Linked DNA regions of Elephas maximus indicus. The protein of the gene in region 1 interacts with the protein of each later gene in a biochemical or structural test. Links are inferred from orthologs where the notes say so. Each region holds a gene or a part of one and is shown in the gene's direction. Other genes may lie near its edges.

Region 1 (15,178 bases):
GGCTGTAAAAGCCTTTGAGTCTATGGTCTTTTTAAATTAAAATGTTGGATCAAGGTGGATACCAATAGGCCTGTCCTCTAATATGCCCATTCTCAATTTGGGGTATTAGCTTCATTTCAAACTCACAGTGAGAGATGTATCTAATTTCTGGTTATAATCTAGTCATAATCTGACAAGCTATTGAACAGGAGTTAGCATCAAATGGAATTATTTTATGAAAAGAAAAAAGGCTGTTTTACAAATTGTCCTCAACTTTCTACAGATAGAAAAACTGGTGAGGGATATCAGTATGGATTAAAATATCTGTCTTTCCAGTTTTTATCCTTCTCTCTCTCTCTCTCACACACACACACCTTTTATTTTCTCCCGCCTCTGCCACAGTGTATAAAGCCCTATTGAGACATGTAGGCGTGATGTGTAAACCGGATTAGCAGTATGAAAGAAAGACACACAATAAGCTGGAATTGTTTTACTTCCCTTTCATTTCTTATGCCTATATCTCTAATAAATTTGTTGCTCCAGCAGTGGGTCAAAGGGATCATGTTACTCAGCTTCTTTTTCATGCAAGACCCAATGGCAGAGATCACTGAAATGAATGATATGCCTTCTGCCAAATGCAAAGCTTGATAGGGATCTATTAGACGGGGAGATAGAGAAAAGGCGAGAAAGAGATGGAGGAAAAAAATCTTCAGAGTCTGAGTCTTTACAGAACACATTTCTATCCATTAGAGTTAAGTAGTGTGGCTAAGCAGATATTTAGATAAAGGGGAAAAATCAATCCAAGGGCCAATGCTATGTTTTCTTTCCAGTTCCTTGTAGGCTGTGAATATTCCCTCTGCCCTGCAGGAGAGTACCCATAGCTTTTGGGACTGTATAAAGTCTAATTCCTCTTTCAAGCTAGTGTTTGAACCCAGAGTAATAAATGTGGAGATGTCTGGGACCTTCTCAGGACATCCCCCCACCCCCACCCCAAGCTCACTGTAAACTCCAAAAATGCCAGTGCTCTCATTTACTCCTTTGTGGAGTTGGGAGCAGCTTCCCATTAAAGGAGATCAGGAATAATTAGCAGCATTATTTTGACAAGTTGGCTTGAGCTGTTCCCTTTACTCCAGTCCTGGGGAGGGGGGCTAAGGGGAGGAGACAGAGGAGGAATGGAGAAGGGGAGGGGAGTCAAGCCCAGTGGTTTTATATTGTGGCTGCTGAATCTGTTTTTTCCTCCCCCCTGAAACCTGTAAGACTCATTTTCTACTATCACCTTTTAGGTAAATACAAAAGCTGCCAGTGAGAAAATAATAAGGCATTCTTAGGGCGCCAAGAAAGTGTGGTGGATGGTGGCATACTGGCTTGAGTTAAGACTCGACTCTTACCCAAGGTATCTGTTTTGAACTGCTCAGGCCCTGGCCCATCACTCACATCCTGTACCCTACCCTGGACTCCCCATTCATAAATAGAATATTACATCAATTCCCCAGTTCTTCTCTGCATCCACCCTCTCAACAGGAATTCTGTGAGACTCGATGTAATGTTTGCAATGGTTTGCATTTCTGGAAGAGAGTATTAAACTCAGTAGACACAATTATAACATGGCCCAAGGGTCAAATTACTAGAATACATTTACCTCTTTATGCATTTACACACTGCAAAAATTAGCTAAATTACATTGGATCTTAAAGACTCATTTAGTCTGGTCTGCAAAGCCAGTGAAAAGTGAAATCTCCCTGTGATTTTTCCAAACCTCACCAAGTCTGGATCCCACAAGCGCTTATCATTGGAACATCCAAACACAAAGGGCAGATGTTTTATTTCAATGTCATCTTATCATCTGGATAATCAGATGTCATTTTAGAGATGTGTGTAGTGTGGCCATGGGTATTTGAAGTATTGGAACAAAGAAGGGAAGCCAGAGAATTGAAGGAATCTATTTTGAAAATGACAGGCTGCAATGAAGACTTGGATCATGGCAGAAAGAGAAGGAAAAAAAAAAAAAAAAAGACGATCCATACAACTTTAATAGGAAAGGGGAAATGGGAAAAATCAGTTGTGTCATAGAGACTAGCAACTCCTGATGGCTGATCGGGCCTCAAGCTCTCACTTATTTGGTAACTTATAAGAAGAGCTAAACCCAGAAAAGCCATTAAAGAGAACTTTCTTCCCAGCAGACACCTTAGCAGGCCTGGCTTCTCCGAAGAGCCCCATATCAGGTCTATGGAATCCTTGTGGTTCGTTGAAGTTGACAAGCCCGGTGTGGTGCAGCGGTCCCCTGCACAGGGCATGCATATTAAAGCCAACAATGCTTACAAATGTAAATAAGGGCAGATTGATTAGGGGCAACATTATCGCTGGGAATGTCACACTCGCATGCATCAGCAATGAGGCAAATTGGGGGCAGCCTCAGCTCTGGCCACCCAAGTCGAGCAGGCTTTTACACTATCTCCTCTTCCCTTTCTTAAAACGTTACAGAAACAAGGCCAATTAGATCCTCAAAGTAATTCATCTCTGTGTATGAAAAAAGCAGACCACAGGGGAAGCGGCGGTGGGGGCTGGGGAGATTAAGATAGCGCTTGTTAGAGCCAAGGCTTGGAATTGAGCTCTGGAACCAATGGGTAGAATTTACAGGCCCGGACCATTGTCTGAGATGCTGAAAAGTTAGCCTAACCAACAGCAGGCAAGGGGGCGAGGGGCACTGAAAACCTTGAGGATCAATCTTCAGAACGTTTAGGAATTAAGTCAAACTGAGGGAAATGAGCCCGAGTGGAAGACGCTTTACCACTAAAATGGTGCTACAGGAGAGTTTTTTTTTTTTTTACAGGGCAGCTGCCAGTGTAGATGAATACATAGCCATTATTGGTACATAGCCTGTAATTTCATTCTCGAACTCCATAATCCGAGTAGCTATACTGAAATTCTAACATATAAAAGATTGGGAGGAAAAACTTGTATTTTGGTCTAAAATGTTGTAAAGAAATTTGAAAAGAGAAATATAGCAACGTGTCTATGACTATATGGTTACCTTAGCCATACAGCTAGCCTCAAATATAAAAAGGCTGACATTTAAAATTAGGGGTGTCATCCCCCAAGTCTCTAAAAAGCTATCTCCAACAGCAAGCAGGAAATGGCCTGACTGGAGATGTTTGCAGAGTCTTTCAATTAAGAAAAGCTAGAATCAGAAGTCACCCTTCCTGCTTTATGCTATTATCAAACGTAATAAGGATCAGGATTTGCTGAAAGAATAAACTGGCTATGCGTCGAGCCCAGTCTTACTGTGATGCTATTTACTAATGTAGTGTAATTGTAATTGCACGGTGATTGTCTTCCCTTCTGGGTTTTTGCAGCCCTTCCCAGAGCCGGCGCATCAAATCACGTGCTCCTTTCGAATTAGGAGTTTTGAATCTCCGCGCTGGCCCGGTACTCGGGTCCTCCTCCTGATCCCGTAAACACCCCCAGACACTTCTATTCTCTTTGTCTCTCCTTATTCTCCAGGACACCCTACCACTCCCGGGGTACTACATACATGTTGCTGGTTTGGGATTCAGGGGGCAGGGCCTCCCAACTGAAACCAGGAAGGAGTAAACGCTCTAGGGAAGGTGGCGAGGCTAGGAAAGGAGGAGAAAGATGGGGGAGGTAGAGAAAGGGGCCAGAGAGGAAGGATGAAGGGAAAGGGGAAAGGGAAGGAAGCGGGGAGGAGGGAACCGCAGGCTGGGGGAGGAGAGGAAGAAAGGGGGCGGGGAGGGTTGGCGGGCGAGCCCCCAGCAAGAACTGCCCCGATGGCCCGAGCGTCCGCCGCAGCACGGCGCTGGCCTGCACCACCGACGCGGGGTGGTGAATGGGAAGGGACCCGTGCGCGCAGACATTGGTCAGCTGCGGAGAGGCCGCGCGGACATTGGGCAACGTAAGGGGGCCGGACCGCCTTCAGGAATGTACTACGGCGCGTCCGGCACGTCCGTCCGCGCCGGCGATGAGTACGCCTGGCCTAGGACCCGGGGGGAGCCGACTAGTGGCACGGAGCCGGCGGGTGCGCTCTGCCTTCCAACCTCTCTTCCTACCTGCTTGGCCTGGCCGCGCGGACGTGGGTAACCCAGGAGCCCGGGCGCGCGCGTACCCGGACGCACCCGGACACGCGCGCGCGCGCGCACAGGCCTCCTGGCCGCGGATCGCGCCTAGCCCGGCCCAGGATCACGTGGCCGCGGAGACTCCGCCTTCGCCCCGCTCCTCCCCCTTTCCCTCCATCTGGGTTTCTTTTTTTCCTTTCTTCTTTTTTTTTCAATGAACACACACCGTGTGCATCTTAAAGCTACATCGCCCCATGTCATGGCCTCAGTCGGCTCTTCGCTGCCGCGGGTCCTTTTGCAGTTCAACCCCGCTTTAGAAAAAATATAAATATTAAAAAAAATGAGGCAGAATCGAGGGTTTGTGAGTCTGGTCTCTACTGCAGGGAGGAACTTAACTTGCAAACGTAAGAAAAGCAAATTCCACTCTCCACAGTTTTTTTTAACCAAAAAGCACAGCTGTATAGACAGTATAATTTGTCTCGGGCCCCAGGATCCACCCCAAAGGGTCCCGGGTTTTCTTCCCCAAGGGGAAGCGAATCCTCGGGATGTCTTGGCAACCCTGGCCGCAGTGTTGGGACAAGTCCTTAGGATCAGCACAGTTTGTTTCGAAAGAATCCAACATCAAAGTATTCCTCCCTACGTCACGCTGCTATTAAATATAACAGGATGCGTACCGGTTTTTGTAAAAAAAAAAAAAAAAAGTTAAAACTGACTTTAAATAAATAAGGATATGTGGTTAATAAAAAAGGGAGACGTTCAAAGGAAAAAAAAAATAAGCTGGAAAACTTTTTCTCAAGGAACAAGTCTGTTACTCCGGGCTGTTAAAAGGATTATGTCGTTTCTCTTTTACTTGTGTCACATCTAAGATTCAAATAAAAACGCCTCTGCCTTCACGAGTCTGCTTCGGTGTCTGGATTCTGCGTTTATAGAAAGAACACTGACTCCTTCATACTGGTTGTGCGGTCGTTTTTTTGGGGGGGGGGAGAAGGTTGGGGGGGCGAACTTTAAAAAGGGGTGGCTTTTCCCGACGCCCTTGCTTTCCTCTTTAACTTTCCATTTTGTTTATCTTAATGCGAGGCGTTGTTCCCTGCGAGAGCCTAACTCTTCCCTTTAGTTAGAAAAGAAAAGAGAGGAGAAAAAAAAAAAAATCTGGCACACACTGGCGCACTATCCACCACCCTGTCATTATTGGTGCAGGCCTGGGAATTCAAGCCGGACCTCCCAGTATTTGCTGCAGCTTGAGGCCAAGGTGCCTCTGAAAGGGTTTTCTTTGAGGAATTTCAGAAATTGTTTAAGCGCTTAAAAAAAAAAATTACATTTTTTACGTGTCTATCGAGAAGTAAACGCTCGTGTGTGTGCGTGTGTGTGGGTCTGTGCGCGCAAAAGGCGTCTCACAAAAAGAAGACACTGTTAAAAAGGAAAGGAATAAGAAAGAAAGGGGGGGGGAGCATTCCTTAATGGAAGTATTGCATGCGAGAGGGTTGGCGCTCTTGGAGGCTCCCCCCGAAGCCGGGGATGCACACACTGGGGTTGCCTACCTGGGTGGTCTCTCTACTTTGGTGAGCTGTTGCTAAGCAGCTAATAATAGTCATGTTTGCTGAGTAATTTCTGCCCTCCGCGAGCCAATCGCGTCGCAGAAACCCAAGCCATCTGACAGCCCCGGGGGCGGGAGCTCCAGCCTTTTTCTCTTTCGCTCGCTCTCTCCCCCTCCACCCCCTCCCCTCCTCCTCCTCTTTCTCCAAATGGAGAGAGTTCTTTTTTTTCTTCTTCCATCTCATCTATTGAATCAAGGAGCTGCTGCGGCCGCTGCCCGCTGCACACACACAGAGCGGAGTCCCCAGGTCCCGGGAGCGAGAGCGGCGCGCTGCACGGGGGCAGAATGGTCCAGCGGGTCGGTGAGGAGTACAAGAAAGCAGAGTCCGGGACCAAGCAGCCACCGCGAACCCAGCAGCCAGAGCCCCAGCAGCAGCTTCAGGAGCCGCCACCGCCAGCAGCAGCCCCAGCGACCGCCGGAGCAGCAGCAGAGGCGGCGGCGGCGACGGCGGCTGTCCCGGCCAGGCAGCGCTGAGTCCCGCCGGGCACCCTCGGACCCCGCAGCGGCGGCTCTGCGCTTGCCCTGTGCTGCAACTCGGGCGACCGGGGAGACGCCGAGGGAGCCAGAGCGGCCGGCAGGAGCGGCGGGGATTTGCTCGCGCTTTCTGCAGTGAAGGGGTCGGAGCGCGGGGCGGGGGGCGGGTAGGGGGACTTGAGGGTCGCGAGGAACCGCCGAGGGAGCGCCGAAGGGACAGGCTCGCCCCGCGCGCCGGCTCTCGCCCTCCCGGGAACTGGATGTGGGCAGCGGCGGCCGCAGAGACCTCGGGACCCCCGCGCAATGTGGCAATGGAAGGCGCAGGGTCTGACTCCCCGGCAGCGGCAGCAGCGGCAGCAGCGCCCGCCGTGTGAGCAGCAGCAGCAGCAGCAACAGATCTGTCAGCCAGAGCCCGAGCCCGAGCCGGAGCAGCCCGCGGCCAGCAGCGTCCTCGCGAGCCGAGCGCCCGGGCGCTCCGAGAGTCCGCAGCGGCGGCAGCAGCGCGCCGGGCCGCCGGGGAAGCCTCGGTCCCCGCGGCAGCGGCGGCGGCGGCGGCGGCGGCGGCAACATGGCTTCGGCTGGTAACGCCGCGGAGCCCCAGGACCGCGGCGGCGGCAGCGGCTGCAGCGGGGCCGTGGGGCGGCCGGCTGGCGGTGGCGGCGGGAGGCGCAGACGGACCGCAGGGTTGCGCCGCCCCGCGGCGCCGGACCTGGACTATCTGCACCGGCCCAGCTACTGCGACGCCGCCTTCGCTCTGGAGCAGATTTCCAAGGTGCATTTCAGACTCTCTCCTCGCCTCTCCTCCCACACTCTTCCCTCCTCTTCCTCTTTGGGATAGCCCCGCCACACACACACACACACACACACACCCCTCCAGGAAAAGTAGACAAGTGGGGATTGAAAAATTCAAACCCTCCCTCCGGTCCTGGGAGGAAAGGGCTGTCTGAGGTCCGCAGGGGGTGGAGGTGTGTGTGTGTGTCTGTGTGTGTGTGTGTGTGTGTGTGTGTGTGTGTGTGTGTGCACGCGCCCTCCCTGGCTTTCCTTTCTGGAGCCCTAGAAAGCGGTCCCCAGTGGACCACCTCGAGGGCGTCCACGACACTGCCCTGCCCCCGTACCCCCTGCCACGGAGCCCCCTCCTCCTGCACTCTTTGCCCCTATTTGCAGCTTAAACCCGGATAATGCTGCCACATTTCTTAACATCTTGGAGGGGGAGGCGGAGTGGAGGGAGGCGGAGAGAGGAGGGGGGGAGGGAACCGAAATAAAGGTGGTTTCCTTTTTTGGCAGCCAGTTTTGCTTTTGTTGAGCCTGAAATTTCTGCTCCCTTAAAAATTATCTTCGGGCGAGGGCATACCCTCATTTCTTTTACGGTTTTGAACCGCCTATCCTCAGAGCCTGGGGGAAAAGGGAAAGTTGTAAACAAATTGCCACCTTAAATCCGTGGTGCGGCCGGGTTCATTGTGTTTACGAGGCTCGCTGAAATGTGTGGAATCCGGGGAAGGCGAACACCCAGACGGGGGCCCGCTAGGGCCGCGGCCAGCGCCGGGTAAACGCCGCCGCCAGGAGCAACCAGCGCCCAGCCGGGACCCCCGCCTGCACCGGCCTGGGCCCTTCCCCGACGCATTCGGGTGTTTTTTACGTTTAACCAGAAGGGAAGGGAGAGGAGGGAAAGATCTATGTGGCTGCCCTCTTCCGATCACAAATATTGTCGTAAGTTGCAGATGGCTGCCCCCGCTTCCTAATTCAGCTCACACAGCGTCCCCCAACGCTCTGGAAATACATCGCGAGTGAGCTTCCGCGACCGCGCTCACCACGTGGATCCCCATTTACTACCACGCCGGGCGGGGTCCGGATAGGGAAACCCACAATACATTGTTCCCAAAGCGCGCTCGCCCCCTAGCACCGGTCCCCGCCAGGGCACCCTCAGGTGAAGGATATAGCAGGATTTACGGCGAAGGGGAATTTGGTTTGCTCTTTCTTAAATGTTGGGCTCTACCCGCAGAGATTACGCACCCCATCCCTTACCAAGTCCCTGGCAAATATTGCCAGTGTTGAGTGATTTCTCTCCTCTTACCTCGTCTTTGCCCTTGTCCTTGCAGCCCCTCCCCCAGCGCCTCAAGCCACTCAGGGGTGCTGCGCTGGACGTGCGTGGGGCGGCCCGCCTGTTGCCGCGATGCACTCCCACGGTGCAGGCCGACTTTGATTTATGATCAGCCCCCGCCCCCCGCCCCACGCCGCTTGCGGACCGGATGGGTTCCAGCCCCGAGGGAGAGTCCCCGACCTGCAGCCACCCAGAACCGGGCTGCAGCACCCTGGGGCTGACGGGGGCTCCTCCGGCGGGAGCCCGCGAGCGGGTGGGTGTGGGTGCGTGTGCCGCGCCTCCCCTGCACTCACTCCTTCCTTCTGCTTCGTCCCCAGGGTAAGGCTACTGGCCGGAAAGCGCCGCTGTGGCTGAGAGCGAAGTTTCAGAGACTCTTATTTAAACTGGGTTGTTACATTCAAAAAAACTGCGGCAAGTTTTTGGTTGTGGGCCTCCTCATATTTGGGGCCTTTGCTGTAGGATTAAAGGCAGCTAATCTCGAGACCAACGTGGAGGAGCTGTGGGTGGAAGGTAAGAGACCCAGCGCTGGCTGCTGCGCCCTGTTTTCCTCCACTCCCCCACCCCCACCCCGTTCCCCTTCCCCTGCTTTCAATTGATAAAGATATTTACCCGAATACACCTAGAGCCTTTCAGTAAGGAGAGAAACCCCCCTGCCCACACCAGGGGGAATTGTTTATTGTTTGGGCTCCTGGCAGGGAGCCAGGCCCGCCCGACAAAGCCCGCGCTGTAATCTACTCGGGGCGCTGCGCTTTGCTAGGTGTTGTGGGAGAGAGTGGCGAGGGCGGGCTGGCGGGGGCGCGGGGCCCCTCCGCGGGACGGACCACTCGGCGCGCCCGGGGGGCCTGCAGCCGCCCAGGCTCGGCTCTGCAGCGCCCCGAGACGCGGCTAGAGGAAGGACTCTCCGGCCTTGGCTCCCCTCCTCGGCTTCCTTCCCTCCCCTACCCCCACCCACCGCGTCTAAAGAGAAAGGAGTTGCGGGGAGGAGGGAAGGCCACCCCTCCGGCAGGAGGGAGTGTGCGCGCCCCCGGCGGCCGCGGCCGCCGCGCGGGGGAGGGCGGAGGGGCGGGCGGAGCGCGGGCCTGCGGAGGCGGCCGCGTGTGTGGTCCTGTTTTTGGACAGCTTTCAACTCTGGGGGAAAAAAACATTTGTCTCAAGATACAAAAAAAAAGGGGGGGGGGGAGAAGGAGTTGGAAAAAAATAGTAAAGCACAGACTGGAACGCATGTTTGCAAAGTGGATTAATGCTTCCTTGAGGGTGGGGGTTTTTTAATGGAATTATTCTGGGGGAAGTCTGCGTTTTACGGGCAGAAAGAAGAAATGTGTTTTAAGGATGCGTGTTTGGAGGGAGGGGCCACGGGAGTTGTCCAAGGGGTTCTGCCAGTCTTTTATCCACATTCCATAATTTGGGGTTTTTTGAGCCCCCGCTTTTATAAACAGTTGTAAACTTAGATTTTTTTTTGTCCTGAAGATGGAAACATTTTACATTTCTTTAGTAATACAGCTTTTTTTTTTTTTTTTTTTTAAGTTGGCTGTTTCTTAATTATCTTTTTGGAAAGTAACTAGTCTTGCTTGGAAACATTTTAACCCCTAAATACTGCTTCAGTCATCTCTTAAGAGGGTGGGAGGACAGGATTGGGGTAATTATGTAGCTATTTCTAACCAAAATATCTGGGACATGGCTAGTGAAAGCTACCTAAGAGAATTGGGAAGCTGAAGAACTATACGCATAATTGCTAAAGTTACTTATTTCAAGGTGCAATTGGGGCCTAACCTTGGAGAATGTTTTGTTAATCTTGGTTTGTTTATAAAGCTTCATTGCAGTGTTCTGCGAACCAATGACAGAGTCTTTAATTGAGAAGGGACAATTAAAATAGTAGCCCAAATAATTAAGACCAGAAAACATTCCTGCCTTAAGTAGCCTGATAATAAATACAAGAGTGTTCTTTGAATTGAATTCGTGGGATAATTTACCTCAGTTCAGCCTGTCAATGTCATTGGTAGATTTAAAAAAAAGAGTTTTATTGAGCACTTAATAGTATCACTGGAAACCCTGGTGGTGTAGTGGTTAAGTGCCATGGCTGCTAACCAAGAAGTTGGTAGTTTGAATCCACCAGGCGCTCCTTGGAAACTCTATGGGGCAGTTCTACTCTGTCCTATAGGGTTGATATGAGTCCGAAACGACCTGACCTCAGTGGCTTTGGTTTTGGTTTTTTATAGTATCACTTAGGTCCCTGGGTGGTGCAAGCAGTTTGTGATTGGCTGCTAACCTAAAGCTTGGCAATTCCAACCCACCCAGCAGCTCATGAGAAGAAAGGCTTGGCAGACTGCTTCCCTAAAGATTATACCCAAGGCAAAAACTCTGTGGAGCACTTTGACTCTGTTAACACATGAGTCAAAATCAACAGCAACTTTTTTTTTTTTTTTTTTTAATGCCCTTAGCAACAAGTTTGCTGAGCACTTGTGATGCCCCTAGCACTATGTTAGTAGGCCCTGTAAGGGACTCTGAAGTGTGTGAGACACTCCCAGCCCAGGGGTGAGGGGCAGGAGCGGCTAGTGGAAGAGAGTGTGGATAATTCATGCCCTTAAAACTACTAGAGTTGAATGGATTTGCACTAAATTTGAATTCACTGTTGAAATGGGCTGTTACAGTGAAATGAGAAAGAAAAAAAATAGTTTAAAAAAATTCCTGGAGGTGGTAAGGCAAATTGGGGAGACCTGGGGAGAAAGAAGAGGAAGGCACTTGTTCTAGGCAGGGGCACCAGCAGGGACTCTGTTTTCAGAGCAGGCCGGCAGCCTGAGGCCCCACGTGGAGTGGGAATAGGGCTAGGAGCTCAGGTGGGGCCTGGACAGCAGGGCTGTCGTCTGGACACAGTGTGATTGGCTAGATGTCTAAAGCTCCCATGGGCTTTAGAACAGAGCAGGGTATGAGCAGAGGGAGCTTCCTGGTTGGCCATATGTGCGCTTTCCGCCACTTGGGCCAACTGGTCCTTGTCAGGTGTAGATGCTGATGAGAAAAGATGGTTTTGTTGTTCTGAGCAAGAATTTTCGGTAGACTTTCTTTTAAACAGAGGTAATGTGATTTATTTTCATAACCTTGCATATTTTAGAAACAACTGTTTCTGCATTACACAACTCATTTTGCTCCTGGGAGGAAGAGAAACATGCTACACTGTCTTGTGGTGCTCCAGCTGGCTTAGTGAGAGTGAGTTTGGGGGGGTGGGGGGGGGCAGCAGAATTTTTCTTCAGTGAGACAGGATGTGGAACACACCTGAGACAGAGCCGCACTCTGCCTACTGTGGCCTCTGAGCTGGCATTTTCTCATTTCTTCGTTGGCACTTTCCTTGTGGTGCACTGGTTCTTGGATCGAATATGATTTAATGAATATTAACAGTACCACTTGTTGAGCAAGTGCCACGTCCTTGGCATTTATTATACATTATCACTTACCAGTCAGTGAAGTAGCTATTGTTATCTTTATTTTTTTTCTAACACAGTAGTTTGTATAACGTTTTTTATATGCACTAATAATAGCTCTGGTGGCACAGTGGTTAAGAGCTTGGCTGCTAACAAAAAGATCAGCGGTTTGAATCTACCAGCAACTCCTTGGAAACCCTATGGGGTCACTATGAGTTGGAATCAACTCGATGACAATGGGTTTGGGTTTTTTTGTTTGTTTGAATATTTAAAATGTCCCGTTTTATAAATGAGAAGCTATGGCTTATCTATTTCTCTGTCCTTGTCCACTTTGCCTATTAATTAATGACTTAAGTCACTTGGCCCCCTTTTCCCTTGACCTCGATTTAGCTATCATTCATTCATTCAATGCTAGATTCTTCTATAGAAGCAACACTTTCATAAATCCAAGTAAACCTCACCAAGGAGGCCATCATACTATTTTATAATTTAAACATGATTTTGAAATGGAATTAGCTATGCAGAGGCCTTGTTTCTGATAGCGAACATTGTGTCAACAGTAAGAAGTGTGAGTACTTATTTTCAGGAGCAAGAATTCCCTGCTGTTGTAGAGATTACAGTAGAGGTCAATGGATTAAAATGAAGCAGCAGCTCCAAATGTAGGTAATTTTGTGCTTCAATCCCTTAGATAATGTCCTCGTCACTGTCAGCAAAGAAGTCTGTTAGACGGTGTTTTCTTAAATACTATGAACATTTTGGGCATGAACAAGGGTGCTTACTATACAAATAAAGCAAATGAATAAGGATTGCATATTTCCCTAGTTAAAAAGCAACCGGAGATAGAAAGAGTAAGTTTAAGGGGAGAGAGATGCTGAGGGGCAGTTTGGGAAAATGCTAGTTCTCCTGTGATTAAAAAAAATGACATTAAAATACCCAGTTGCCATTGTGCATATGTGTACACATAGGCTTACTGTACATATGCTCCTAGCAGCCAAAATGGTGTTATCTTTTGAATACAGTCAGCAAATAAAAGGGATTCACTTATTGGACTATATCTTGGACTTCCCCACTTTGCTTAACATCCTGGGGAATGGGACTTTATATAAAGACCTTTGAATACATTAGCCACAGTGTGCAGACCAAACGAGCTACATAAGAAAGACTCTCTGAACATATTTTTTATGTAACTGGTGATAAGAATTCTTTGATTCTGTTGTTAAAATATTTATATGATTATTGCCTTTTAAGGAGTTGTCAGTACACGATGGGTGCCAGCTGGGGTTTTAGGGTGATAATATTTGCAAGTGGAAAATGCCAAATGGAGCTGATTTGTGAATGGAGTCATTGAGGCTTGGTAAGAGAATATGGGGAATGATGTAGTGTATCAGGACATCTGCTACTAATTAAATACATGGTGGTGGCAGCAAGGTGGGGGAGAGACTGATTTTCATTTCAGAAGAAAACATTCCTTGGTCACCTATTCTGAGTGCCAGAGTTCCAGAGAGTTGTTGGTGAAAAGCCGCAATCCCTACCCTCAAGGAACCCCCATCCAGAGGCATACACAGACCAGCTAGAATGCAGTGCAGCAGTGCAAAGATGGCAGGGAAGCCTTCCAGGATGTCCTGGAAGGAGGAAGCACAGAGACTGGAGAGGTGGGTGGGGCTGCATTCCAGGTAGAAGGAACAGCATGGGCAGAGGCTCAGAGAACAGGGGCGTGGCCTCCGGAAGCCTTGCCGTGGGTTCCTTTGGTTGGGTCACCAGGTTTGCCACTGCCCTTCCTTGGGAGACAGATGTGGCAGTCTGCATCTGTAAAGATCACAGCCTTGGAAACCCTGTGGGACAGTTCTACTCTGTCATATAGGGTTTCTATGAGTTGGAATCAACTCAGTGGCAGTGAGTTTTAGTTGGTGGCCTCCCTGGTACCTCAGGTGCTTTCATCTGAGTCTCGTTCTGCTGGGCAGAGAAGAGAAATGCTTTATTTTTAACCTTGCCCATTTCTCTGCTGGCATTTCCTTTTTGTTCAGCACTTTTATTCTCCTATCTCCCTTAATACCTATTTCCCTTCATACTTACCCCACTCCAACCTTTTCTCAGACACAAGTTTGTTGTCCAGATTCTCCCGTGACAGAATGTTCATTTATTTATCTCTTTGAGCTTTTTGGTTTTTTCTAAAAGCTGGCCCAGCCCCTGCCCTCCTTTTCTGAAAAAAGGCAACAGCCCTGAAATGAACCCATCTCGCCTTTGTGTTTGGTCATTAACGTCTCACAAGGCCAGCATCAAGGGAGGAGGACAGAAGTTGATTTTTTAAAAAAGAGAAATAGAAGTGTGTTTATTTTTTAAATGCATTCTTGGTGTCTCTAAGTTCTCTCAAGCTTGTACCTTGCTGATACTACGACTTCAGTGGTCCTGGTTTGAACCCAGGCATTCCTAGGAGATAATTGAGTTTCGCCATCCTTTTCGTTTAGAGCAGCGTGTCCTCAACTTTAGCACACTTGCTGTTTGGGGCTGGATAATTCCTTGTTTTGTGTGGGGGGGGGGGAAGCTGTTCTAGGCATCGTAGGATGTTTAGCAGCATTCCTAGCCTCTACCCACTAGATGCCACTAACACCCTGCCCCAGGGTCTCTCTGGAACTCTCTGGCACTGAGAATAAAACACCTCTCCTGCCCTGCCCCAGGTTGTAACAACCAAAAATATCCCTAGACATTGGCAAATGGTGGGCAGGGGTAGGGGTGAGGTCAAGGGGTAGGATGGGAGTGGGGCGCAATCACCTCAAATGGGAAATCGGGAACCACTGGTTTCGATGGAAGGTCTGTCTCGGGCAAATGGAAGGATTTCATTATGATGGCGCTGTGGCTGCAAATGCATAGCCATAAGTGTCCGAACAAAGAAACAAAAATCCAAACCCGTTTCCATCAAGTGCATTCTGACTCATAGTGACCCTATAGGACAGAGTGGAACTGCCCCATAGGGTTTCCAAGGAGCAGCTGGTGGATTTGAACTGCGGACTTTTTGGTTAGCAGCCAAGCTCTTAACCACTGCACTACCAGGGCTCTGCCATAAATGTAAAAGAGTTAAATTTTTCCTTAAATAAGTTAACCTCCCCCCCACCCCACATTTACCAACTCAGGTAACTAATTTTGCAGAAAGACCTTGCTGCACTTCAGCTACAGTCAGCTGAAAGTTTTTGTCATGAAGGTGATGTTTTAAAAAGCCATAAAAGACGCCACTGGAGTTTTTTCATATTGAAATAACAGTTCCTTTCAGAAGCTGGCATAGCACGGTAGCTCTTTGGTGGGCTTATTCTCCTCCAGATGTTCCCGTCACAAACCACGTTTCCCGGAGGTGCCCTTACAGGATACAACTGGAGACGAACTGGACAGCGAGGGACGGAAGCATATTAGCCAAAAAGACAGAGTGGGCTCAGCTTTTACTGCCATTCTCAAGGTTGCTACCTGCTCTGCAAGTCAGCCCCACTTTTGCATCCTGGGACTGTGAGTTTCATTACATTCTACAAGGGACAGAAACGTGGAAGGAAATGTAGCTCCTTTC
Region 2 (15,172 bases), on another chromosome or scaffold:
GAATTTAAGGGCTGAAAGGACTTTTGGTATCATTGACTTCAAATTCTCATTTTATAAATAAGGAAATAAAAGTTTTGAGCGGTTATGTGACTCACCCAAGAGCACGTAGCTACCTGAGAGAGAGCTGGGCCTATGGTTCTCCTTAGTCAGTAGATTTTACACTCCCCCGCTTTGCCAAAGTACCATGGAAGGGAACATCCTCAGGTAATCACTGACCCTACACAGAAGCTCAAGTCTTTCTAGAAAACCCAGCCCCAAAGGAACTTGAGAACCTGTGTTCTACCTAATTATCTTACTCATCTAGTGTTGGTATAACAGAAATACCACAAGTGGGTGGCTTTAACAAAGAGAAGTTAATACTCTGACTGTCCAGTAGGCAAGAAGTTCGAATTCAGGGTGCTGGCTCCAGGGGAAGTCTTTCTCTCTCTGTCGGCTCTGGAGGAAGGTCCTTGTCATCAGTCTTCCCTTGGTCTGGGAGCATCTCAAGTCCAAAGAACGCGCTCTGCATCTTGGTCTGGGTGCACCTCAGGTTCAAAGCACGTGCTCTGCTCCCCACCCTGCTTTCTTGGTGGTGTGAAGTCCCCACTCTGCTCACTTCCCTTCCCTTTTATCTCTTGTTTTTTTTTTTTTTTTAACATAAAAGGTGGTGCAGGCCACACCCCAGGGAAACTCCCTTTACAGTGGATCAGGGATGCGACCTTAGTAAGGGTGTTACAATCCCACCCTAATCCTCTTTAACATAAAATTACAATCACAAAATGGAGGGCAACCACACAACACTAGGAATCACGGCCCAGCCAAATTGATACACACATTTCTGAGGGACATAACTCAGTCCTTGGCAGTGATGGAGATTCAAGGCAATGATGGGTGAGCTGCAACAGGCAAATTCACGACAGGGTCTGGGACCAGAGGGATGGTGTGGACATGGAAAAGGATATCTCCAGCTACACGCGAGGGAAGACTGGATCTAGATTACTCTGATTCTTTCAGGCAAACGTATGGCACAGACTGCCAACCTGCACCTGATTAACCTAGTTAATTTTGCTCCTGTAAAGAAATAGCCTTTATTTTTCTGCATGTCAGCATTGCATCCTCTTTTTTTTTTTAAAAAAAAAGGAAATGTTTGAATGGAAGTTGCCCAGATAATGTAAGCATTCTGCTGGCTGCCAAGAAGGGTCTAGGCACCCCTCTTGAGGACTGGCAGAATGAGCCACAGAAACCAAGCTCACCCTGCAGAGGACAAAAGCAGGAAGCAGAGCAAAAATCAGCCTCCTAAGTCTTCACTTCCCAGAGAGGGCTCATTGCAAGACATGGAAAGCCGGGTATACCCTTCTCCCTAGTCCCAGAACAGCCTCCGGCCAGAGGCGAGCATCTGCAGAGACATCTCCGCATCTTACCCTGATGGCAGGCCACTTCCTGCTCCACAATCCGGCTCCGTAAGAAGCCATTCTTGTGGCGTCCCCAGTGCCCCGGCTGTGTGCCTGCACTTCTCCAGGGCTACTCCAACCCTTCAGGCACTAGGTCACACATGCACACACACACCCGCATGTCCTCCCCGACCAATACCTGCTCTCAAGGAAGAATCTGAAACTCTCACACACCTGTCAGCCCTCCCTGTGGGGAGGGCTGTGGGCGTCTCTGTGCATGTATGGCCAGGGGGCAGAGGGCTCCAGAGGCCAAAGGGCATTCCAGTAGGACCAGTGAGTGTTCTGAGGATGGGACTCCACCCGGAGAGCTGGGATCTAGTCATGGCCACTATCATGCCCAACCCTTCCACCCATGAGCTGTTGGGGTTCCTCCCATCAGGGAAGGCAACAAAGCGGAAATTCTGATTTCAGCCTTCAGGAGGGAGACCTAGGCACTGTTTGTTCTTTTGTTTGTTGATTTGTTCAGTCAGTCGGTCGGTCGGTCGGTCGGTTCGTTGGTCGTTGGTTGGTTGGTTCGTTGGTTTTTGAGCTTCTCAGGTGAGTCTAATGCACAACCAGGGTTTAGAACTATTGGTTTAATGTACGAACTTTCCCGCACCTGTATCTTAACAAGATTCAAAGATTTAAAGAATAATGGTCTTCTGGTAGACTTTCATGGCAGCCTGTAGTATAGGGAAAGCATACAAGATTTAGGATTGAAGAACTAGGTTTGGGCTCCAATTCCACCACTGACTTATTGTTGTTCTTAACTGCTGTGGAGTCAGCCCCCAACTCATGGCGACCCACACACGATAGAACAAAACACTGCCTAGTTCTGCGCCATCCCCATGATTGGTTGCAGATCAGACCATTACGATCCACAGGGCTTTCACTGGCTGATTTTCAAAAGTAGATTACCAGGTTTTTCTTCCTAGTCCATCTTAGTCTAGAAGCGCCCACTGAAACCTGTTAGCATCATAGCAACACACAGTCCCACAACTGACAGACTGGTGGTGGCGGCTGTACATGAGGTACATTGAATAGGAGTTGAACCCAGATCTTTGGCATGAAAAGCAAGAATTCTACCACTTCCCCCTGTGACTTACTTATGTGAATTCTCCATCTGCAAACTGGGTATAAGACTACCTACCCACACTGCTTCCCTTGCAGCTCATAAATGTAGCTGTGAGGTTCCTATGACAGAATGGATACAAAATCACTTTGAAACTGTAAGAAGCTATACATACCTCAGACATTATCTAGGAATAAGAACACCCATTACTTAAAATGAAGACTGAGTGATTCAGCAAAGTAGAGCAATGGTTTGAAGACAGTGAATCAGCACAAATTCACAAAGCAACATATCTCAGGCTGAATGTCCACATTACATGTATTTCTTGCCTGAGCATATCTACTTTTACAAAATACAGCTTTTGTTCCACTAGCTGGCTGTGAGTCTACAAATGTCACCAAAAATTGCAATTCACTTTCCTCTTCTGTAATCCAGATATTAATACTCGCTCTGAGGAGCCCCGGTGGCACAGACAGTGAAGCACTCAGCTGCTAACCCAAAGGTTGGCAGTTCAAACCCACCCAGCAGCTCTGCAGGAGAGACTTGGTGATCTGCTTCCGTAAAAATTACAGCCAAGCAAACCCTATGGGGCAGTTCTACCCTGTCACATGGGGTCACTATGAGTCAGAATCGACTCAACAGCACCCAACAACAGCAATACCTGCTCCATTTGTCTACCATGTGTGGAGCAAATGAGACCCTGAGTGTGAAAGTTCTCAGGAACAGGCTGTTGCTACTGCCTGCCAGGAGGCTCCATGCCATGTGGAACAGAAGCGGGCTGAAAGTCCCACTCCAGAAAGTGCACGTCGCCTCCTCAGTGTCTCCAGCCCTGGTGCATAATGGGCGCTCAACAAGTGTTTGGTGAACAGAACTGGCGAGAGCAATGCTTGCATCCATAGGGACCTCAGGATACCATCTGCACTCCCTCCTTCAGAGAAAGCGCCTCAGGAAGGCCCAGGTGGAGTGGGGCTTTGCCCAGGCTCCTGCCTCTCCTAGCAGTGCCCTCTCCTCCTCCGCACCACACTGCAGAGTAACGGTCCACAGCCAGCATCAAGCCCACACATGAAATGCCGCAGAGCGCAGCTCCTCACCCAGCCAGCAGCCAAGCTATCTTGTCTAAAGTCTTGGCTGCTGCTTCCCCAGCTGCTCCTGCTGCCATGGCCGCAGGCCTGACCTCCGCTGCAGTGAGACTGAGGACTCAGTGGTGGCAGACGAGTGGGTGGAGGACACCCAGCAGCTGCACCCGGCCCTTGCCTACTTCTAGGCTACAGTCACTGAATAGTGGCTGCCGTCCCTGGTCCTTCTGGGCCACAGAGAGCCTGGTGCTGTCCAGGACCTGGGGACTCAAGCCCTAAACCCAGAGAACATGCTCCCCCTCTCCTCCCTCCTCTCCCGGCAGGCTGAATTGGGGGATTAGGATAACAGTGCCAAAAAGCAGCATTCCTCCAAAATGCAGAGACAATCCCAGGCTGGTGATTACAAGGAGATTGTCATCACCAACAGAAATTCAATTTGACAAAATTGGAAAGAAATTGAAACTGGGTGACTGGCTGGAAAGATATTGAGTACAATCATAAGGAAAATAAATCAGAAAGGGGAGGGGAGGAGGGAAACTGGGAATGTCAGATTTGAGCCAGACCCCAGAGACTGGAAGTCCATGGAGAACTGGGAGCAACGTCACAGGGGCTTGGTTGAGGACAGGGGCTTAGTGAATACAGAAGTGGGGGGGGGGGGGTCTGCACTAAACCTGGAACCAGGTTCAAAGGAGGATGGAGAAACCGGCTAGCCCGCTTCCCGGGGCCTCCCAACCTGGTTCTGCCCGAGATTCCCAAACACACCCAAACCAGAACCCGGCACTCCAGAACTGAAGGCAGAGTGAGGAGGCCATCTAGCGGCTGGGGTCGAAATGGAGGGAAAGGTGCGGTTCCGAGGAAGGGCGCCTCCTGGGGGGCCGGAGCCTGAGACAGAGGCAGCCACCTGTCCTCACCGGCACGGCCGGGTGCAGGGCGAGGTGGACGGTAGAAGGACGGAGAGTGGGCCGGGCGGATGTGGAGGACCACCAGAAGGAGACGAGCTCGGATCAGTCAGAGATGGGTCTGCGGGAGACCCGGGACGCCTGGCCGCGACAGGCACGGGCAGACGGCTGGGGTTTGGAACCGCTGCCCGGCAGAAGGAGGGGCCGAACTGTCTGGAGGGGGAAAGGCAAAGAGAGGGAGCCATCTGGTGTCTGGAGGTGGAAGACGAGCGAGTGTCTGGTGTCTGGGAAATGGGAAGTGGGCGAGATGAAAGGAAAGGGGAAGTGGGAGGGGGAGGGAGGCGCGGAGACCGCCGCGGCCCCGGGAAGCTCGGCCGGGCGCCCAGTAATGCAGACCCTGAGTGCCTAAGACAATGCACACGGACTGCGCGTGATTTTTGTCCCTATTCCCCCTCCCCGGGCAACCCGCCGCCGGGAGCAAGCCCTCCGGAAGAAGGCGTCAGTGGCGGATTTTACAGCGATTTGTCCATCACTCTTTGAATCGGGAGGATCCAAACGAGCCCCTGAGACGGCGGCCGCTGACAGGCTCTCCGGGGTCTCCAGGGCCGGATGGAGATGGCGAGGAGGGAGGTGGCCTCGGCGCCGGCCCTCCCGGGGAGCCTCCGCCGGAGCCCGAGCGCAGTGCGCGCCGCGTCCCCTTCCTGGTCTCTGCGAAGAGGGAGGGACCGCGCCGCCGGAGTCACGCTCGGCTCTTTCCTGATCCGGGAGAGCCCGGCCGGGCCCCCAGGTCACACCGCCCACCGCGCCCCGCAGCCTGGACTCTCCAGCTCGGCTTTGGCTTTCATAACCCAAGTCCCACACCCGGCACGCTGGGGGCGTTAGACTTTTCCACGTGCGTTTACTGCCTGCACCGGACGCGCACCTCCCCAGCGTGTCTGCGCCGCAGGAGCCCTGCTGGCTGCTGGGTACACGCGCGGCCCGCAGCCCCAGAGTCTCTGGCCTCAACCCCCAGCTTCGCCGCCCGGGCGCTCCCGCCCTGTGCGGGCACCTAGGTCTTTAGGGGAGAGCGCGAAGAGCGAAAAAGAGAAGGGAAAGGAAAGGCACTGGGGCCGAAGGAGGTGCCAAGGCGGGGGAGGGTGATGAAAAGGTTTGCAAGTATCCCACACTGTCGGGATCGCTTCTTAAACCGCGGCACTATTTAGTGATATTACATCAACACGTGCTACCCGAGGTAACCACATCAAACAAGCCTACCTTCTTTGGTATACAGCGTTATATCTTTTTTTGTATCAGTTTTTTCCTGGGAGCACACAATATACAGAGAGAGGCGCGCACACACACACACACACACACACACACACACACACCCTGGACAATAAATTAAGCCCCGGGTTTATCAACAGAGTTGAATTGTCTCCGGCTAATTGGAGAACTCTTCGTTCCTGCCTGAGTCTTTCTGGATAGAACTGGGTGCTGCCTTCCCACCTTGCCCAGAGGTCAGCGCTCTTCTTAGGCTCGGTATTTTGGTTCTTCAAAAATCACAGAATAGAAAAGAGAGAGAGATGCGAGGGGGGAGGGGGGAGGGACTTGTCAACCTTTGTAGAGGAGCACGAATGGGTGGAGTGCAGCTAGATGTCGCTTAAGATGACCCCCTCAAAAAAAAAAAAAAAGATTTGGGCATAGGAACATTGATGGACTGCTAGCAACTTCCCATTGTTTTGCTGGGTGAACCTTCAGACCGTTCTCACACCACTGCGTGGTTTGGGGTCAAGGCAGAATACTGAACTGCAGAGGCCAACACTCACAGTATCTGATTATTTGTCAGGGTCAGTATTTCTAGTCCACATGAATAACACTCCCTTGCCCCACTCCAGAGGTATTCTTGCTTATGCGTGGAATGGGGGGAGGTTGAGATGGGGGTATGTTCTGCAAAAAGAGGGAGTGTCAGGTTTTATTTTTCTAGTTTAGTTAGAAAGTTGTGGGTGTGTGAGTGTGTGTTTTCTGGAAGGACTGCAGGGATTGGGGGTCTCATATTGCTGTTCTCTGGACACTAGGACACCCCTATTTGACCAGAGCCGGAGCTGCTCCAGCCACCTGCACCCCTCCAGGCTGCAGAGCCCATGATGTGGCCAGCTCCATTTAGCGCCAGCACCAGACGCCATAGCAAGGAGCCTTAACTTTACACTTCACTCATCCCTTGGCCCTGCACTTTGCTCCTATTGATCTGTGGGGGTGGTGTTTGCAAAGCCTTGCCCACTCACTGCTGCCCTCCAGGCACAATGAGCCTCCGCCCACAGCACACACAAGCACAGGCTCCCTTCCCAGAGCTGGGGGTGTCCAGCACCTGAGACCCACTTTGCCCCTGGACCTTGACAGTCCATCAGCTCACTCTGTACCTACCCTTAACACACCTCCATCCTATCTTCAGAGGTTTCAGAAACCATGCATTGATACAAACAATAAAGTGGCAGTATTTTAAAGTTTTTCTAAGGCATGTGAAGCACTTCAACTCACATTACTAAGTTGTGGTCACTCATAATTATCCTTCTTCCAAAGATGCTGAGCATTCAGGCAGAGGAGGCTCAGATGGGAGACCTGGCCTGAATGCTAAAATCCCTAACAATTTTAAATAAGACCTGGCAAGCTTTGCCCCTGAAACATTTGAGGAGATATTTGTTTGATGATCAAAGCTTTGGGGGGTCTGTGCTGTCCTTTAAAAACTTAAGTTGGTTTTAACTGAAGCACCTACCATTCCCAAGAAAGTAAAGGGGGAAACACGGATACACACAAAGCAGGGTATAATTGATGTTATCCTGAGAAATGTGCCTCGCCCTCCCTCCCACCTTTGTTTTAGTAAAGATTTTTTTTTTTTTTACTCGAAGCCTTCAGGTGAAAATAAAGCAGCAGCAGCAACAGAAAAAAAAATTGTAGCCTTTTTGAGGGTTAAACATCAGAAGACAAGCTTGTGTTGCCTTGGCCAATCAGATACGCCCCTGCCAGCTATAATATAGTACTAAAGGCAGCCTCTCTCACAAGCGTCTCTAGGCTTGCTACCATTTAAAATCAGACTCTTTTTGTCTTTTGATTGCTGTCTCGCGACCCATCTCCGATGTGTTCCGTTATCAGAGACCGGCAGCCTGCCATTCCAGCACCTGTCTGGCTGGGGATCGGTGGAGAGTCCCACGCAGCGGCGGCGGGCAAGGTTATATAGGAAGAGAAAGAGAGCGAGGGAGAGAGCAAGGCAGCAAGCGAGCCGGAGCGAGAAAGGGAGAGCGCAAGAGAGAGCGAACACGCACACGCGCGCACACACACACGCTCACACACACAGACACACACGGGAGAGCTTGGAAGTAATTGGGCTCCATGGACGAGATGCTGCTTCTGGCGAGATGTCTGGTGGTGGTCCTGGTCTCCACGCTCTTGATGTGCTCAGGGCTGGCGTGCGGACCCGGCAGGGGATTTGGGAAGAGGAGACACCCCAAAAAGCTGACCCCTTTAGCCTACAAACAGTTTATCCCCAATGTGGCCGAGAAGACCCTAGGGGCCAGTGGAAGATACGAAGGGAAGATCTCGAGAAACTCCGAGCGATTTAAGGAACTCACCCCCAATTACAACCCTGACATCATATTTAAGGATGAAGAAAACACCGGAGCGGACCGGCTGATGACTCAGGTAGAAACCCAGCTCTGGGGCGTGGAATGTGTTCCTTTAAAGCGAGCTACGTGGAACGAAGCCGTTCTAGACTTGGTTTCTTTGCTTTTTAAGCAGATTTAAAGGCGATTTCACTCTGTCCTTCCCCACCCTCCTACCTACCTGCCACCCCTTCCTCTTCCTGGAGGAATGGAGGTTATGGGTCCAGAAGTTTAGGGTATGGGCGGGGGTGAGAATGGCTGGGTATGTGATCCCATTTATGGCCCTGATTTCATCTCTGTCTTACTAGGATGGCTCTCCCCACCCTGGCTGTGCTCTGGCTTGTAACTTGGAGAGACCTTCACTTTCCGGGCGTCTGCCTTTTCCAAGTCTGTGGCTTTACTGGAGAGTCAGGAGTGGAGATGCAGAGGGGGGGTGGGAATCCCCCCCATAAACATAAAGTGGCCTCAGGTCACTGCTACAAATGTAGGCTCGAAGCGTTAGATCTCCAAGCTCATACTTTCCCCCTCTCTTCTGTGTTTTTTCTTCCCATGACTACCCCCACCCGACCACCCCCCACCAAAGAATCTTCCATTGGAAAAGCCAGGAAGGCGGTTCTGACAAAAGGCAGTGGCTTCGGAGGCGGCTCTAGCTGTCCATGACTGTGTCACATAGCTTGCCTTGCGATTCCATCGAGTGTGATTGTGCCCATCGGAGTGTGAATATATTGATATTTCTTTAAGGATGCTCTTTCATTCTCCTAAGCCCGAGGTACCTTAGGGGAGGGACTTGGAACTTACTGGCATTGCATCACTTCAGTTTTCAATCAGCTTGCATAGAAATTACGAGGGAATAAATATTAATGGGAAAGGGGTGGAAAGGAAAACCAAAGCAAAATATTAATCCTTTCCCCTCGCCCATCTCCTTTGAGACATCTGGGCTAAAAAGCTACCTGCCAATTCCAGACTTTCTGAAACTCCATGCATATGTAACTGAAGCTAGAAATGGGTTTCCTCGCAAATATAGGTCAGCATCATTTTTATTGCCCTATTAAAATATTCAAATCCTACCTTTAGGGCTAGAAGCGCACAGGCTGACGGAGCGGCGCTGGCGGGGCGCAAGTGTGGCGGGAGGGGGGGGAGGAGAGGCGGGGGGAGGCAGAGAGGAGCTACCTCGTAGCTCTTCTGCTTCCAACCCCATTCCTGGGCTTGTTGCGGGTGCGGAGAAAGGGAAGGGCCAGCTGGGGAACCAGCTCTAGCTGCCCGGTGGGGGCGAAGTGGGAGTGGAGGAGAGGATTCTCTTTCCTCGGTCTCCCTCATCTGCTCCCGACCACCTTAAATCGGGCCCAAGAGTGTGGCCGCGCGCTTGTGCCCCACAGAAGCCACGATTAACTCTGCGTGGCCCCAAGGGGGCCGGGGGCGTGCGGCCGGCTGGAGGAAGTTCTCTGGCTCTCCGGGCCTCGCCGCCCCCTGGTCCCCTTCGCCCCCCGCGAGGAGCCTTCCCGGGGGTCTTTCCGCACTCAGGGGAGGGGAGAAGAGAGAAGCGGCGGGGCGGAGACACCGGAGGGTCCCGAGTCGGGCCGGTCAGCATCTGCCTTTGTGGGTGCAAGGGACCCCCACCGAGTCCCGCGCCCCCTGCTCCGAGCTCTGGGTCCTCAGCGCCCTTCTGGGAAGCTGTAGGCCCAAGAAGCCGAGCCCCAAGTCAGACGCATTTTCAGCTCCACTTACTCCTCGGTTATCGATCTCAGAGGCTAGGGTTTCAGTTTGTGCGGCGGAGCTGGGCTCGGGCCGTCGCCGCCGCCGCCGCCGCGCAGTCCCTGCCCTGCACGCGCACACGCAGGAATCAGCTCCAGAACCGCGAGCGTGGGGCTCATCCTAATGGGGCGCTAATCACCCTCATTAACCCGGCGGCGGCGGCGGGGGTGGGGCGCGTGCGGGGAGGAGGCAGGGGTGTGGTGACGGCGCGGCCGGGCCTCCCGGGTCTCCGAGCCCCCTGGGCGCCGCAAGGAGCCCTCCATCCCGCTCCGCGCCTCCCGCCCGCCCTGCCCGGGAACACGGGGCCGCGCCCGCCCCACGCCGCGCCTCTCGCGCCGCCGCATTCGCTAGCAGCATTTGAACTTCTGACCTTCTGTCAACTTCCCTCAGACGAACGAAACGAAAACAAATACTTTTTTTTCCTTCAGCAGTGGCCATTCCCGTTCCTAACACAAAAGGAGGGGGGAAGGGTGGCCAAAGTGGGGGTGGGGTGGGGTGGGGTGGGGTGGGGTGGGGTGGGGGGGAGAGCCAGGCCAGGGTTACAGCACTGACCCCCCCCAGGTACCCTAAAAACGTGGATGGTTGGGGGTGGCGGCTGGAATGTGCCCCCTGGTTGTCCCTCCTCTGGCATTTCCCTCTTCTGCAGATTCTAGGAGTTAAAGGGGGGCGGGGACAGGAATGGGGTGAGAGAGGCAGACGTCTTGGGTCTTGTAAGGGCAGGGAACGTGTGGGCTTCAGAGGCAGGAAAGTGCCTCTCAGGCCGCGCGAAGGTCTGGAGCTTCTCGGGGAACTTGCTTGCCTGCTGGGCTCCTCACTTTTACAGAAACGCCTGGACTCTGCTCTCAGGTGTGCGTCTTGAGGGTCTCCTCCTCCGTCTAGTCTCTCTCCTTGTCTCTGGGTGTGTCTCTAGGTCTCTCTAGGTGACCGTTGCCCAAGTCCCTCAACCATGGCGAGATCTTCCCCAGTGGAACTTTCAGAGCAGTTCTGGAACGCATGAGCTCCTGGTTAATATTAACCCGAGAGAGGGGAACGCAGACAGACCACTCTCCCAGCGCAGGCCCCGGGTGCCGGCTCGCGGGGCGCGGGTGGGAAGGGGCGCTGCGAGGGGTAGGAGGCCCACCGGGGGCGGGTCTGGAGGCTGAAGTCGGGGGCTTAGCCTGAAAGGACGCGTTACTTGCATTTCCTGCCTGCTCTGCAGCCGCCGGGCAAGGCAAAGGAGCCAATGTGTGAGCTTGGGGGGGGTTTCCTTTTTCATGGATGGGGGTTCTCTGTGCGCTGGAGGGGTACAGAGAGGCGGTGTTGCCGAGCTGGATGTCTTTTTGAGGTGGAGGCCCCTCCCACGCCTAGGCACCGGGGGAAGCCCGCCCGGCTGCTCGTAGCGACTGATACTGCCGAGCGCCTCCTCGGCGCGCTCGTTTGTGTAGAGATTAGGGAGTGTGGCGGGGAGCTGAGGCGTGTGGAACAACTTTGCCTCTGCGGACACAAAGCCCGCGCCGAGGCGGCCCCGCTGGGCTTCACGGTGACTGCACAGAATCGGGCTGATTCGCGGCACATGACCCAGTGAATGAACAACCGGTCCTGGCTGCACGGCCTTTGCCTCCGACAAGCTAGCGGGCTGGAGCCAGGAGCGTCCTGCAGCCGCCAGCCGAGGCCCGCCCGGCCCTGGGGCCGGCCAGAATTCTGCCGGGATGTCAGCTGCCGACGAGGGAGCTGGGCTCCGGGACACATTCAGGCCGGCCCCTCGGCCTCGGACGGTCCCCAGCGCCGCCACCTCCACTCACCGGGCCTGGCTCGGCCAGGGGCTCCTCGCGTGGGTTCCTCCACGTCTTTTCCAAGTGGCGCATCTCAAGGGGCCTGGGAGGTGGGATTGAAGCCTCCCCGCCCCACCGTCTCCCTGCCCAGTTACCGGGTGGAACGCCGTTTAAGGCGTCATCTCCCCCCAAAGAAGGGAGCAGAAGGGAGGCTCGGGGTGTTTGTGTGCATGTCAGTGTGTGTGCGCCTGCGCGCACCCCGGCTTCATATCCAGGCTCTAAAACTGACCCTGGTCTGATTGATTTTCATGTAAAATGCGTTCAGTCCTCAAGATGACCTCACTCAAATTCTCCCCTTCTGCCTTTTTTTTTTTTTTTTTTAAGAACTAAAAGAACCAGCAGGCCCCAAATCCTGCAAGCGTTGACCTCTTACTAGGACGGCCCCAACCCTCTACCCCCTACCCATTTGTTATATGTTTAACTCTACAACCATGTTACTGCTTGCTTTTTTATTGCTGCCAAGTACACAGAACTTTTCCTGTTGAACAATCTGTGACATACCCTTTAAAAGTGGACAGCAGTCCTTTTAACAAATCCCCCCTCCCTTAGCAAAAGAGTTCCGATACACTGCTACTATTAGGGTCCTTAACAGAGGCTATTTTTCCATCAGGGAAACCAAGAGGTGTCTTAAGGAATCATCTTTTCTGTTCTTGAGGAGATGTGGGAGGTCAGTCCTACACTTTACAGAAGTCAACTTGAATGTCTCTCTCCAGCCTCTGCTTCTGTCTACCTGGCATAGGGGTGCCTCATTATTGTTTTAAACCCCCCTTTTTAGAATCCCCTACCAGCAGCCAGCAGCAGTCAACTCCAGTGAGTTTAGTACTACACACACACACACAATTTAACTAGACTTAGCACATCCTTATTTGATTCTAATCCATAAACCAGAGGATTATGGGGAAAAATACCACAACCCCAAGTCCCATTTTACCTTAGTTTTTATCAAACCTAGTCAATGTTTCTTTACTCCTGCATGTGACTTCCTTTCCTCTGTGTGTGTGTGTGTGTGTGTGTGTGTATAGGGTGGGGGAGGGCAGAAAGGCTGTTTTGAGGAAGACTCCCCCAGGTAAGGGGCTGGTGAGGCTTCAGGCCTTTCTGTGCCCTGGTCTTTCTTTCTGGTGGGGATGTTTTCCTAGCCTGCTCCCCATCCCCCACCCTCTCACACACAAAGTCCCTGGCTCGGTCCACACACTCACACACCCACCCCCTCCCTTCGCCTCTTAAGTTTGCTCTTCAAACTTGCAGGACACCATTCTACACTGGGGCCAAGAAGACAAGAGGGGAGGAAGGGAACAGGTTAAAGAAAACAAGAAACACAATCAGACCACAGAAAACCCAGGCAGAAAAGAGTTCTACAGAGAAAAAAGAATGTGGTTGTCCAGATAAAGAATGTTTGTCATCCAGGCCCTGGCCCGTATTGAAAATTATAACTCACCTGGCTGCTTTTCACTCTGGCCTTCTCCCACCCCTCCAGCTTTGCTATCAGCTTCCCACCTCCCTATCTTACCTTTGGCTTAGTTTTCACCTCAGATAGTCATGGGGGCAGAAGGGACCAGAGGGTCCAGAGATAACACCAGGCTTTTCATTCCTTAAGAAGTGTACAGTGTATTTTCCTTTATTCCGGCAACGTTGCACCACCCTAGGCCTCTCTCTGGCCTCCTTGTGAACTTCTGACTGAGGGTCCCGGTGAGGGCTTTAGCCCAGCAGCAAGGTGGAGCTTGCACAGGTGTGGAGAAATGTGTGCAGAGAAAGGGGGCTGGCAAAGCGGAAGGCACCTGGGGGAGTGGGGGCACGCCTGAAGGCACCTGGGGGGCTCCTGGGGCCATTGTCAAAATAGTTTTCTTTTTTCCAAAGAAACTTCATCTGCTTCTCAGGCCACAGGATGAGTATTAGCTATTTCTGGATCTGGAGACAGGCCCTCAGCCCATTCCCAAGAGAACCTGCTCCTCCAGGCAGCTCCCGCCCCACCTCCTCCGCCCCGTGCCTTCATTCCGAGCCGGCTGGGCCCCATTCCCGGGCCTGTCTCCCACTTCTCTGCACACCCCTTGCCTGGCCTAGGCGACTGGCAGCTTTGCTACAGGCGGGGCAGGGGTTCCCCAACGGCTAGGGAGGGCGGAGGGCAAGACCCAGGACCCCAGCTCAGGCGGCTGACGCTAACGCATCCCTGCCCGGATCTTCGCTCCCCTTCTCTCCACAGAGGTGTAAGGACAAACTGAACGCCTTAGCCATCTCGGTCATGAACCAGTGGCCAGGAGTGAAGCTGCGCGTGACCGAGGGCTGGGACGAGGACGGCCATCACTCGGAGGAGTCGCTGCACTACGAGGGCCGCGCGGTGGACATCACCACGTCGGACCGCGACCGCAGCAAGTACGGCATGCTGGCCCGCCTGGCCGTAGAGGCCGGCTTCGACTGGGTCTACTACGAGTCCAAGGCGCACATCCACTGCTCGGTGAAAGCAGGTAGAGCGGCGGCGGAAGTCGCCTTTCTGCATATTCCCCCTCCCCCTACCGACCACGCCCCCCCCCCCCGCGTCTGGCCCTCAGGACTGTCAGCTGTGGGCCCCCCGACGGCAGAGATCCCAGGGAAAAAGGCTAATAGTGGTGTATATATGTGGGAGGGGGGAGGCCTCAGGGACAGGGAGGCAGAGGAATTGGGGTGATGCCTAGAGTGTTGCTGTTGTGAGATCATACCCCTGAGGGGCCCCCCTAAGCCAAGAATTGCCCCCCATCTTTGGGGATTACTCGGAGGCCAAGATTCTCGACGCCCCGATGCAGAGGGGATTTGGCTTTCTTAGCCCCACCCCACCGGTTTCCGGAGCCCTCCCTGCAGATGGCGGAGACTGGGAAGAAAGAGTGGCTTGGAGGGGGAGGAAAGGGAGACTAGGACGTGGCTGGGAGAGAGCCCAGCTCTGCAGCCTTGCCGGTTTCCTGAGGTCTGGCCTAGATCCTTCCTCTCTTTTTAGGGTTTAAGACCCAACACCTCCCAATCATTCAAGTGTCTGTCCAGGGCCTAAGCCCCGCGTCCTCACTGGTCCCTGCAGGGCGCCTGTGGATTATAAACTAACTTAACTCACTCGCTAAGCCTTTTGGGAGGGCCCTGGTGGGAGGTAATAAGCCCTGGAGTTACCACTTCTAACATCTGGAGGGTCGCAAGCCCAGAAGCATGGGTTGCTGTTAAGAGCCCAGCTGGGATGCCCTGCACTGTGAGGGCCTGGAAAGCCGAGTGCAGCTCCCAGCCTGCAGCTGGATGACCCCAGCTCCAGTACGTTGTGTCATGTTGATTTCCCTGGGCTTGCAACGCCACATGCTGTCGCTAGCGAGGAATAGCTAAGAAAGAAAGGCATTACACACGCGCGAATACGTCAACTTGGAGACTGTTTGTAAGGATCTCTCCGCCTCCCAGCACAAGTTGGTGCATTTAGCAAAATAGTTAACAGTGCATTTCAGAGGAACCGTTTCTCCTCGTACCCCCTTATCCCCAGTGTTGCCTGTGTGTGTCTCCTAAACTGCATTGAAGCAGCA

The links.
Region 2: the proteins of PTCH1 (region 1) and SHH are reported together in a solved structure, tested with the Homo sapiens proteins (5 studies listed by BioGRID and IntAct, with this or other methods). The link is inferred for Elephas maximus indicus from reciprocal best matches to the Homo sapiens genes PTCH1 and SHH.

What each region holds. Positions count from the first base shown.
Region 1 is NC_064827.1:106,914,379-106,929,556, reverse strand, and holds the start of PTCH1 (protein patched homolog 1), read left to right. Parts: upstream 1-6,653; 5' UTR 6,654-6,685; coding exon 6,686-6,889; intron 6,890-7,551; exon of another isoform or gene 7,552-7,824; intron 7,825-8,532; coding exon 8,533-8,725; intron 8,726-15,178.
Region 2 is NC_064838.1:5,078,968-5,094,139, forward strand, and holds the start of SHH (sonic hedgehog protein), read left to right. Parts: upstream 1-7,530; 5' UTR 7,531-7,819; coding exon 7,820-8,128; intron 8,129-13,848; coding exon 13,849-14,110; intron 14,111-15,172.